Linked DNA regions of Caenorhabditis elegans. The protein of the gene in region 3 purifies or fractionates together with the protein of the main gene of each other region. This does not show direct contact. Each region holds a gene or a part of one and is shown on either strand. Other genes may lie near its edges. The genes, in order: tufm-2, twk-37 and tsfm-1.

The links.
Region 1: the proteins of tsfm-1 (region 3) and tufm-2 purify together in Caenorhabditis elegans (co-purification; one study listed by BioGRID). This does not show direct contact.
Region 2: the proteins of tsfm-1 (region 3) and twk-37 fractionate together in Caenorhabditis elegans (co-fractionation; one large-scale study listed by BioGRID). This does not show direct contact.

The regions. Positions count from the first base shown.
Region 1 is NC_003279.8:4,246,036-4,249,915, reverse strand, and holds tufm-2 (protein-synthesizing GTPase), read right to left. Parts: upstream 2,164-3,880; 5' UTR 2,156-2,163; coding exon 1,939-2,155; intron 1,893-1,938; coding exon 1,350-1,892; intron 1,216-1,349; coding exon 656-1,215; 3' UTR 501-655; downstream 1-500. Other genes in the region: cogc-5 (Conserved oligomeric Golgi complex subunit 5), read right to left, coding at 344-417; exoc-7 (Exocyst complex component 7), read left to right, coding at 2,336-2,449, 2,496-2,661, 2,711-3,212.
Region 2 is NC_003279.8:6,268,920-6,273,510, forward strand, and holds twk-37 (Potassium channel domain-containing protein), read right to left. Parts: upstream 2,615-4,591; 5' UTR 2,592-2,614; coding exon 2,563-2,591; intron 2,517-2,562; coding exon 2,457-2,516; intron 2,137-2,456; coding exon 1,952-2,136; intron 1,904-1,951; coding exon 1,809-1,903; intron 1,754-1,808; coding exon 1,667-1,753; intron 1,589-1,666; coding exon 1,459-1,588; intron 1,344-1,458; coding exon 1,178-1,343; intron 1,096-1,177; coding exon 837-1,095; intron 780-836; coding exon 642-779; 3' UTR 501-641; downstream 1-500. Other genes in the region: oac-9 (Nose resistant-to-fluoxetine protein N-terminal domain-containing protein), read right to left, coding at 1-114; C10G11.8 (AAA+ ATPase domain-containing protein), read right to left, coding at 3,094-3,318, 3,360-4,262, 4,544-4,591.
Region 3 is NC_003283.11:12,269,771-12,273,532, forward strand, and holds tsfm-1 (Elongation factor Ts, mitochondrial), read right to left. Parts: upstream 1,782-3,762; 5' UTR 1,780-1,781; coding exon 1,696-1,779; intron 1,638-1,695; coding exon 1,492-1,637; intron 1,411-1,491; coding exon 983-1,410; intron 937-982; coding exon 644-936; 3' UTR 501-643; downstream 1-500. Other genes in the region: capg-2 (CAP-G condensin subunit), read left to right, coding at 2,114-2,418, 2,465-3,175, 3,219-3,600, 3,674-3,762. UniProt on the Caenorhabditis elegans protein: Associates with the EF-Tu.GDP complex and induces the exchange of GDP to GTP. It remains bound to the aminoacyl-tRNA.EF-Tu.GTP complex up to the GTP hydrolysis stage on the ribosome.

The DNA.
Region 1 (3,880 bases), on a different chromosome or scaffold from region 3:
GATTTGATTTTTTATTAATATAATGTAACACTACAGTTATGTTTTTTAAAAATTTCTCTACTGGCGGTACTCCATCTTTCGACAAAGTGTGCGCCTTTAAAGAATACTGTAATTTAAAACTTTCGATGCTGCGAAGTTTTTATCGATTTTTCATAGTTTTTCTTACGATTTGTTAAAGTTTATGTTGTTCTATTTTAGTTTTTAAAAAATAAATAAATGAATATACTTTTTGCAAAAAACTATGAAGAATCGACGCTACAGTACTCTTTAAAGGCGCGTACCATTTTTCATTAAACAAAAATTGTCGTGTCGAGACCCAAATCCACAAAATTTGGCGACTTACTTTTTCAAGTAATCCTTAACATCAGTTTTTCCCCAGAGGAAGTCGTCGAGCTGTTCGTCGACTCTCCCCGACATTTTAAACTGGAATTAAAAAATAAATTATTATTTAATACGAAAATTAAAAATAAAGATATTAATGAGCAGATCAGGTAAAACTGCTATTAATAGGAGAATGGTATTATTTGAACAATAAAAGTAGTGAAATATTATTCGAAGATTTCGACAAAAGAAAACAAAAACAAAACAAGATATAGTAGTTAACAAGCTAATAAAATCTAACCTAAAATAAATCAATACTGTAATATATAAAGAACTACATCTTTTCAGCGGACTTTTTAAGATTATGTTTCTCTACAGCCACATGATCCTCTAGATCTGAGATGATTCCTCTAGCGATCGTTGTTTTACTGCTTCCTTCTCTCAATGTAAACGGCATTCCTTTTCTGAGTGGCATGTCTTTCATCAAGAGTACTGTAGCAGAAGTATGTTCTCCTGGCATCAGAAGCTCATTGCTCATATCGAAACGACCAACTTGATCCCAAGTACTGCAGTACATTTTGTCTGTGAAACCAGTCCGAATTCCGATCTTCCTGCCATTTTCAGCCTCCGAGAGAAGATAAAGTTCCACTTTCACTCGATTCGTAATTGTTACTGCTCCTGGATGTCCTGCCCACATTCCTCTCTTCACTGTATCCCCTTTAACTCCTCTACACAGAACTCCACAATGATCTCCAGCACGAACTTCCTTCACACTTTTGCCAAAAACTTGGATATCCGAAGCAGTCGTTTGAAGAGTTTGCCCGTCTCCTTTGATTTCAACTTTATCGCCTTTTTTCAAGACACCTCTTTCCAGTGTACCGACGATGACTGTTCCTGAAAAACATTTTAAATTGGTTTTTTTTTAAATATTAGGGGTGGCAAAAAATGTCATTTATTGAAATTTCTTGCACTTTTTCTTGCAAAATAAATTCTTGATTGGCACACCTTATATTTCTTTTTTCAATTACCTCGCCCAGTGATAGCAGTTTTCGATGCAATTGGCATTACAAAAGTATCCTTTTCATTTCTATCCGGCTCTGGAAGTGAATCCAATGCATCAATCAATCTCTCGATACACGAAATATCTTGTCCTTCTAGAGCACTTAAAGCGGAACCTCGAATAACTGGAGTCGCATCTCCATTAAAGCCATGCAGACTCAACAATTCCCGTGCTTCCATTTCTACCAAATCCAGATCATCTTCTTCAACCAAATCCGCTTTATTGATGAAAATCGCCATATTTTTAACACCAACTTGCTTGGCTAGAATCAAATGTTCTTTGGTTTGCTCCATGACTCCGTCGGTTGCAGCAATCACAAGAACAGCCACGTCCATTTGTGAAGTTCCGCAAATCATATTTTTGATGAAATCCGAGTGACCGGGGCAATCAGTGTGGGAATATCGACGCAGAGGACTTTCATAGCCGATATGAGCGACATTGATTGTAATTCCACGTTTCTTTTCTTCTTTTCCCTTATCGATTTCGTCAAATTTAATATGCTTCGCAAAACCTGCAGAATTGAATTCATTTGTGAATAATATAAAAATTAATTAAACCTTTTTTAGCCTGAACTCTTGTGATTGCTGATGTTAGAGTTGTTTTCCCGTGATCGATGTGTCCAATAGTTCCCACATTTACATTGATTTTTGGCGTAGCAGCTGCAGTGGCAAAGAAAGCGACGGCATTTCGTGTGATTGAATTACAAAATGAAGATGTTGAGCATCGATTGAATAGTAGAGATCGTGTGAATGCCGACAAAGCAGCGGGGTTCATTTTACCTATAACACCGAGAAATTCATGTTATAATAAAATCGGTTATAACAATTTTAGTAACTTTGAAACCATAGAAACCTGGAACCTGAATTTAATTTAAAAAATTCCAAAAATTGCGTGGCAACTCATTTTGTCCTCGAGGAGTACGCGGCCGCGTGGCCTAGGAAGTAACTAGGTCACATGTTGGTTGTTTATTATTTTTATTGTTTTCCATTTTTCTCTGTCAATTCTCGAATATTTCCAATGGCAAGTGATCAAAATGCTGCCGAATCGATAGCCAAAAAACTAGCTCAGGTTTGTTTTTGCTGAAAAAGAAGATTGATCATTTAAATCATTTCAGGAGGAAGAATGGCTACAGAATTTTCAAAAGAACATCGCGAAAAGCGCGCAGATACGACAAGGAATCGAACAAGTTGTTGAAAAGTTTGATCAGAGATTGAGCTCTCTTGAAAAGAATGTGCTCCCGATGCATATTTCGAACGGGAAATTGCAAAAGAAACAGCATAGTATGTCAATTTGGCAGTTTTCTTTTAAAAAAAAGAAGATATTTTCCAGATATCCAACGTCTCATCAATACAATTGACGCTACTCTTCAATTTTACGGAAAAACTAGCACTGTTGAGAATGCAATAAATAGTGGAAATCCGTCCGTCGATCTCGACCCTTATCTCGAAAATATGGAAAGTCTGCAGCAAGCAATCATATTTTTCGAAACCCATCCAAATTATCGAAGTCAAACGGATAATATGAGAATCACACTGGACACTGGATATACAATGCTTGAAAAAGCTTACAAGAATTTTCTTCTGAAGAATAGTATTACCGTGGATCCGGCACCTTTTGTAAAAAATGAATTGACACCCAGATTGAGTGAAATCAAAATTATGACCGATGAAGAACCGATAATCAAAATTGGAGTTTGGCTCCTGAAGCAGCCACGTGTTCCTAATAATTTTCTGGGTTATTACTCTGAAATTCGTGGAGCACAAATTTTGAAGAATATCAAGAGCATCGCAGAAGCACAGAAATCATCGCAACTTGCTTCCAGAAGTAAATTGTAAGATTGAGTGTTTTTGTGTGCGCCAGTCATACAGTACCCGGTCTCGACACATTTCTGATAAAAAACAAAAAAGATGTGTACCTTTAAAAATGAATGTAATTTCAAACTTTCATAGTTTTCGATTAAAAAAAAGTACTTTTTTAATTGAAAAAAGCTTCAGAAAAGCTTTTAAAAAATTAAAAAACTTAAATTTCGACAGATCGGACTGATACAAACGATAACAAAATCGATGAACATTTTCGGAACTAGAGTTTGAAATTACAGTAATCCTCCAAGGCGCATAATTTTTCACAATTTGTCGTGTTGAGGCCGGTATTTTTGACGCAAATTTTCACATCTCGATAAAGAACACGGCTGTTGGAAAAAAAAGTGTTTTTGACCAAAATAAAAAAATTGAAATTTGCGAAAAACCAAAAAAAAAAGCCAAAAAAAATTGATGCCTGTTAAAAAAAAAACCAAGAAAGAATGAAATTTTTTTTTGAATTTTTAGTCTTAATAACCAAAAAAAAAATAAATTTTTCTTAAAAATTCAAAAACAATGTCTCAGCCCTGGTCTGAAAAACTGAAAAATCGAAATAAAAGTTATTAGAAAATTAACAAAAATTCCAGCTATTTCTCGATAAATCGAAAACCAAATATTTTCAATTTCTCAAAAATTCAAAAAA
Region 2 (4,591 bases), on a different chromosome or scaffold from region 3:
TTTATCGCCTTCAAAAATTTGTTGAAGAATTTGTTTTCCAGACTTGGTAAATGAGCAGCTGACGAAGGCTGATGAGGGTAGAAACGAGACAAGTATCAAATAGACGAGATTCATTGTTTTCATGGGAAAACTTTCACAAATGATAATCGAAAATAAATTGTTTGATAATTAATGATTGCGTTTTCACAAATGACGGTATTTGCGTGAGCTGCACGTATTCCTGGAAAATAATTTTCAGAAAGAAAAGAACAATAAATTTTTTTTAACTAGCCACAAACACCGTTGTTTGAGAGATTAAAAATTCAATTACCAAATAGGTTATTCACGAATGCGCTACTAAAATTAACTCCGTAACGAGAAATTGCACATGAGGTTATAGGTACGGCGCTGGGAGGTCAAATAAAAAGGCGGGTGTGAGGCGCCTCTGTCAAGCCTTTACCGGATTAAATCTCTAAATGGGCAGTTTTTTTTTCCTTTCATTGTGCAAAAAAAGAAGCTTTTTGTAATTTCTTCATTCTCTTAATGACGAAAAAGAATAAGAATTAAACCACAAAAAGAATATCAATAAAAATTGTAATAAGCAAAGAGATATTTTAAATTTTGAGAATAATCTGATATCAATTATGATCACTGGATCGAAATCATTCCTTCGCTGTAGTCGTTGCAGCAAGTTTCCGTTGAGAAGCACCAGGTGATATCATATTTGTTTCTAAAGTGTCGGTAGCATGCCGTTCATCGAAGAGCTCCAAAACTCTCATAAATCTGTTTTCCATCGAATGCTGAAATTTGTAAACTTTAGACACTTGGTTTCTTACAAGGGAATCTTCACAGCTTACATGAACGAGAACTAAAACCATTGAAATCAGTGATAAATCGATAAAGTGTAATACACAAATAATAGTTCCAGAGATATGACCTGACGGAACAAAATCTCCAAATCCAATAGTTGAAAATGTACTGAAAGAAAAGTACAAGGCATCATAGAATACAAACTCCTCATAGACAGCAATTGCAAGTGCTCCGAAGCCCCAAAATGTGACAAGAAGAATAAAAGCTTTCAGTACTGTCATCTTATACTTTGCCGACTTTTTGCCACTGAAAACTAAATAATGAACTCAAATAAAGATTTTATATGGAAAGTTGAGAAGAGGTTATTTATGTTTAAATGTTAAATTACCATTTTCGAACGCAAATTGCAAAAATTTTGAGTGTCAAATTGCATATTTTCAACGTTATTTTTCCATTGTTGCGAAGTACGTAGAGTGTTAGAGCAATTCCTATAATACCATAAGCTACAGTAACCAATTTACCGGCAATTGTGTGACAGACAAGTTCGCCGTACCCTGAAATAGAAAATAGAATGATTAGACGACACCTCGGGAGAAAATTTTAAAAATATTTTTCAAAATGTTCGAAATCAGTTTTGATACTATTTTACTTGTTAATCCCGAGTCATACCTATTGTCGTAATACAAGTGATTACATAAGCCAGCCCATCCAGAAACTCTTCTATATGCTTTGGAGGGTTTGAAGCGTAGAGTAGGTCAAAAATTTCTTTTATACAATTGTTGTTCAACTCATTATCTGCCTGAAATAGATGAAAATTGTATCGAGGCGTTTTCCGGGTATGCTCAATTGAAAGAGATGCAGAAATACTTTCACAAACCTTTTTCAATTTTCCACACTTGCTACCTTTCATTGAATTGTAGATGTGTATTGATTTCTGACGAATATTTCTTTTGAACTCATTAATCTGAAAATATTATCAATGAATATATATCTGCAACAGAAACAAAAGCTTTACAAACATTCATATCAGATCTCGATTCAATCTGCCAAAACAAGAGAGCTCCACCAATTATATATGCAACAAGAACCACAAATGCAATTATTGTATTAAATTCTGAAATTTGAAACATTACTTTAAGCAGAATATAAACCAAATCCTCACTTCGAATCTTTCTCAAAATTGTTCGTAATTTCGTTGGCTTCGGTCTTTCCGCTCTAGACTTTCGTTCAACAAATTTTAAAATAGATTGCTTTCTGACAAGATGTTGAGTTTCTGGTGAAGATTTTTCCATTTGCCTCTTTATAAATTTATTAATAAGTCGATCCGTGTGAGTTTGCATTCCATCGCTGAAAGACTATTGCAGTTTGGATTGACAGTGGTGAAGCAGTGGGTATTGTTTGAGAAGATTTGACAGCTATTCTGTCGTCTTTATATTTTCCTGGTGTAGATAATACAGAAACTCGACATTTTGCTTCAGCTTTTTCTCGCACATTGTCGCACATCTTTGCGGGTTACCCCTAGTTTCGAATTTTCCGCGCATTTCTTCGCATGCTATCGTAGATCGTCGCAGATTTTCGCGATTTCCCAGCTTTCAATCGCACGGAGCGAAATGTCGAGCATGTGGGTTACAAACTAATTTTCTTCTGTGGATTGTAGTTATACTCACCTATTAGAAGTGTGATGGTTAGAGCTGTGTGATTTTTGATTTGAAGGTATTGAATCTGAACTGAAAAATGTAGTTTTTTTTAGATGAAAACAATGATTCTGCAAACCTCGATTGTCTTCTATTTGATGCTACCATTGGGACGATATTGACTCCAAAAATTAGAACTGACTTTTAAAAAATCGATTTTTAATAGTTTTGGCCATCTCAGAAAATATCACGTTTCTTGGTTATGGTGGTATTTAATAATTTTATAATTTTTAAAACTGTACGTAAACAATTTTTTCAAGAAACTTGGCGAGCTCAATGAGTTTGAAATTTTTTAAACAAATTTGGATATTTATTTTTGTATCTATTTGAGTGTATACGACAAATCTCATCTTGTGTTAAACAGTAACACATTGAAACAATAAAATATTTATACTCGAGATCGGTATTCAAAACGCCTCGGATCAAGTTAACATAATTCTTCAAATTGAGGCTCTGGAAGGGAAAGAAACTACGAAAACAAACAGTCTATGGTCATAGAAAGACCAAAGAAATTAACTACAGATGTTCATAAAAACATCTGCACTGGCATTGTAAGAGAAGAAAGGTTCATTAGGGTAAACTCGTTTGTACTTTATTGAATTTCCGATTGTCAAGAGAAGAATCCTTCTGGTGCTCCGCCCTTCTTCGACAGCATAACCGATTTGACAGCCTTCTCAAAGTCATCCGTTCCGACACATTTTCGTTGAGCACGAAGAGCCAGCATACCAGCTTCCGTGCAAACCGCCTTGATTTCAGCTCCACTAATGCTCTTCTCCTTTCCCAATACATTCTCATAGGTGACAGCTTTCTGAATCGTCATTCCAGAGGTGTGGATCTAAAAATAAAAATTATTTAAGAAATGTTGAATTGACTAACCGTGAAAATCTTTTGTCTAGTCTTCTCATCTGGTTTTGGTAACTCAATCTTTCTATCAATTCGTCCAGGACGGATAAGAGCGGGATCCAGCGAGTCGATTCTGTTCGTTGCCATGATAATTTTGACATCTCCACGGCTTTCAAACCCGTCCAATTGATTTAAGAGCTCAAGAAGAGTTCGTTGAACTTCTTGTTCTCCACGTGAAGAAGTATCAAATCTTTTCGTACCAACTGCATCAATTTCATCAATGAATACAATCGATGGAGCCTGTTCCTTTGCCATTTGGAAGATTTGACGAACAAGACGAGCACCTTCCCCACTTTGTTTCTGAACAAGATCGGATCCAGTTGCACGGATGAATGTTGCAGATGTTGAGTTTGCAACTGCTTTCGCCAAAAGCGTCTTTCCAGTTCCAGGTTCACCGTAAAGAATAACTCCTTTCGGAGCAGTGATTCCCATTTCTTCATAGTACTCTGGATGAGTAAGAGGAAGTTCCACAGACTCTTTCAGCTCTTGAATTTGACTCTCACATCCTCCAATGTCATCGAATGTCTCTTTTGGTGTCTTCTCAACTTTATGTCCCATCGCATTGCTGTCAATCTTGTCATCCAAAACTCCAACGATTGCACTTGGAACTGTTTTGAACATTCCACCAGCCTTCACCATGACGAGGGCATTCAGACGAAGCAAGTCCTTGTCGACGATCGAGAGAATTGGTACGTACCATTCACGTCTCGAACCTTCAACGACCACAACGGCATGCTTCTCATCATCGAAAAGCTCGTGGACACGAGCCAATGTGGTTGGAGTTCCTCGGAGACTTTGAACTAATTGCTGTTCACGACGTTTTTGGACAGCAAGAGGGCGACCATGACGGCTTGTTTGACGAGTGATGAACTCTTTCTGTAATGAAAACAACTGTTAACCATTTAACTGCAGTCATAGGATCCCTACGCAACTGACATAAACAAAACAAAATTCTCTACGTCTATCCTACTACTCCAACCCTACAACGATTTGAAGTTCGTGTAATGATGACGTCATAGATTGCAAACTACATTTACTACAAGCTATGGCTTTATGAAGTGTTAAAGACCTCGAGTTAGATAAATTCCGCATCTTTGCTCTCTAGGGATGAACTCTTTGCTTTCTAGGGATGAACTGATAATTTAGTTTTCACAAACCTCCAACTGCAAGTAATCATGAATCCTGTTCATCTTGAGAAGGCGCAC
Region 3 (3,762 bases):
AAATGGGAACATCTGGAATATAAAACTATGAGGAATGTTCGGTGATCTTTCGTATTTTTTGCCATGTCAATGGAACTGAAACCGTCTAACTTGATGATAATGACCAAGATAGTCCCTTCAGTTTTGGAACAAGAGTAACAGACTCAGCAACAATATTTGTTTCAGATTGTCTTGATAAATTGCCAAATCTAAGAACGATACAATTTAGAACAATATCGCATGTTTCAACAAAGAGCTCAGTGATACTACAGTACACCTACATCACCAATTACTCCTACAGTACCAATACAGTACCCCAAAAATATATATGTTTTCTGAGTGTTCTCAGCAGTTTTCTCGTATTTTTACTATATTACAACAATTGTTTTAAATTTTCGCGGATTGTGACCTTAAAATACATTTGATTTCGACAGAAATCCGAGTGACCATGAATTTCTGAAATAAAATAAATGCATTTTAATCGTCTTCTTGTTCAATTGTTTTCCACGGAGGAATGTTCTGAAAATTGCAAATGTTTATTTTTTAAACTTTAAATTCAATTTATATGTCGATAAATTTATTTATCGATTAACAAAACAGAGAAACAAAAGCATTCTAAAAACTAATAAGGCATGAAAATAAAGTTACTACCACTTTTATCTAATTATTCGCTTCCAAGCTCTACACGAACAAAATCGAGAATGTTAGCATTGTGGGATTTTAGGTACTCATGAACAGATTGAGATGGATTCAACATGAAGGCTTGGCGGAGAAGAGCAGTTTCCGATTCATCAATATTAGTTACAACAACTGGATCAGCATTTGGATCATGCCCTTCTTGACTACGAAGCCCTTCTTGAGTTTTCACAGATTCTGCAGCTTCGCCGAGGGATTCCGGGGACATTCCGATAATGTGCTGGCATATCTGTCCGGCAAGTTGCTGACTACTGATTGACCCTGTAAATGTTAAGACTTAATTTTTTACTTTATTTCTTTGTTTCACCTGGACTCGATTGATTTAGAGCGATGAGTGAAATGAACCGTCCCATCGGGATATCATCAGTTCCATCTTTAGGATGTGAAGCTCCAAACAAAGTTGTTCCTTCGGGAGCTTTAAAAGCCTTAACTCTTCTCACTGTCATGTTCTCACCAAGCTTTCCGATTGAAAGGGAGAGCACTTCACGCATATTTTTTCCGTCGGAATCGGTCAGATCCCCAAGATCATAGGTGAATTCTTGAAGTTTTGAGCCGCTCGATATAGATTGTGGCTTAGCTTTTGCGAGAACAGAGTTGGAGATGTTTGACAACAAATCCTTGAAAGCTCCAGATCGCGCCACAAAATCAGTTTCACAACTGAGTTCTACCACAGCTGCTGTTGAGTTGTCCGTGACTACAGATACAAGACCATTCGATGTTACACGAGTTCCAAGTCTGGAATATTCTATAACTATTAAAATAATTCCTTGTGAAGTCAACATTCCAAATTAAAAAAATTTCAAAATAAACACTTACTTTGCCGCTTTGGCCCATCCTTCCTTCGCTGCAGCTTCTTTCAACCATTTTACAGCACTATCCATATCATTTTCGCCAAACTGAATAAGTGCTTTACGACAATTCACATAACTATAACCAGTCTTTTTTCGAAGAGCCATTAGAGCCTGAAAAACAATTATTTTTTATTTTTTAAAATTAATTAGGGTTCCTAGATTTTAATACCTCTTTAGAGACTTTCTTTTCGGCCTCAGCCAAGTTTCGACTAGTCGTTGATAGTAGACGTACAAATGGAGCTCTAGCAAACATTTCTAAAATTGGAAACTTTAGTTTTCAGTCAATATTGATAATTATTTTAAGAGAATAAAGCAAATTATGCAATTTTCTGGGCATTTTTTGCATTAAAAAATGAAAAGGCAAGTGCGCCCCAATGAGAAAGACGGCCGCGCGAAAGAATTCGTTTTGAACATAACAAGGAAAATGTGTTTCTTTTTTTTTAATTGCGAGGTAAATTATATTATTGAATTATTTTATTGATTATTTATAATTATTTTTAGGTGAAAACTTTAATACTATTATTTTTTGCTATTTTTTTGTTGAAATAAATTCTATAATTCCATAGAAATTTTCAGTAAAGAGATCAATGCCGAAGAGCAATCCGGTAACACCTAACAAACAACCATCAGAAGACTGGAATGAGTTACTCACAGAGTTCCGTGGAAAAGGAGGTCGGGCTCTTCAGAAAACATTCATCAGAAAATTGTGGGCAGTTCAAGAAGATATTATTGCCAATGCAAATCCATCGACTCTTCGGTGTATTTTCTTCGCACCAGCCTTGTTGATTTGTCCGGAAGGTATAAAATTATCAGCTGAAATTCTCCCAAAAATTGGTGTTGGAAATGGACTGATACTACTCGAGAAGTTAATACTAAAGTTCAATCTCACCGAGTAAAGTTTATACGCTGAAGAATTCCATTTATATATATTTTTGCAGCACTGAATGTCAAAGGTATGGTGAAGTATTCGTCACAGCTTGGAGAAATGCATATCAGGAGGCTAACTTTGATTTGACAGAGGAATTGGAGACCGATGTGATCAGTGTCATGTGTCAGCATGCATTATATGCTCACAGGCCTACCTGCACTAAATTTCAAAATGTGATTGCCGCATTTGCACACGCGAAAAAACTGGACAAAAGTGTAGATGAAATGGTGACAAGGCTTCTCAATGGATGTCTTTACCGAGCGCTGGACGCTCCAAATTACATTGTACAGTCATCAGCTGCAGAAGTATTTTTCAATTTTTACCCACTAATTGGCGAGGATACTGAAGACATGGATAGGATAATGGAAAACCAACATCGATATATGATGGACTTATTACGTAGTGATGTTATTTCCATTCGAAGCGAAGCCACGAAACATGTCTTGAAGGCAATCAGCGAATTCTGGCTTCTTATTCCAAAAAATATCGTGAAGGAACTCATGGGATACATCATTGATACAGTCGCGAAAGACACTGTTGTCAGCGTCCGCGTCGCCGTTTTTGAAGGTCTTAATGAAATGGCATTTGTTCCGGCATGTCTCACAGCATTCGAATATGGATTGAAATGTGCCGTTGATCCAGCACTACAGGATAAATCTGAACGAGTTCGTCTTGCTGCTTACCAAATAATTTCTCGTCTGAAGAATCATAAATTTATTAGGTAAAATGAACCCAAATCAACAAACTAAAAAATAAATTTTCAGTGTGTTCGATATCATTACTCGAGATGATGCCATTGCGAAACTCGATCTGGAAAACGTAGAGACCTGCCGCCGTCAACTGATTCCAATTATGCATATTTGTCTTCCTATCTCGAAAAGTCTGGATGAAGCATACTATCGTCCTCGTGTCAACTACATGTTAGGAAAAAGTCGATTGGCTCTTTTGAGTTACTTCCGATTGCTTGGCCCAATGAAAATCATTGATGCATCCCAAGCATCCAAACTTATCGAAATGTTTATAACCTGGGCATATCGTTATCTTCGTAAAAAGGATGGCCCTCCATTACCAGAGACTGCCGAAGGATACAAAAAAGCGAGAGCTTATCTTGAGTGTGCTCTCATTCTGTACATGTCATGCAAAGGAGTTAGTTTTCTATTTCTCAAATTTAAAATTGAAGACCTTTTTTAAAACATTATAAACTTCTAAACTTTTTCAGATGCTGATGTCAGATGGCGATGGAACTTCAAAAGCGAAATGTGATCAAATATTTGGAAAAGTTGTCAAGGAAATATTTGAAAAATACGC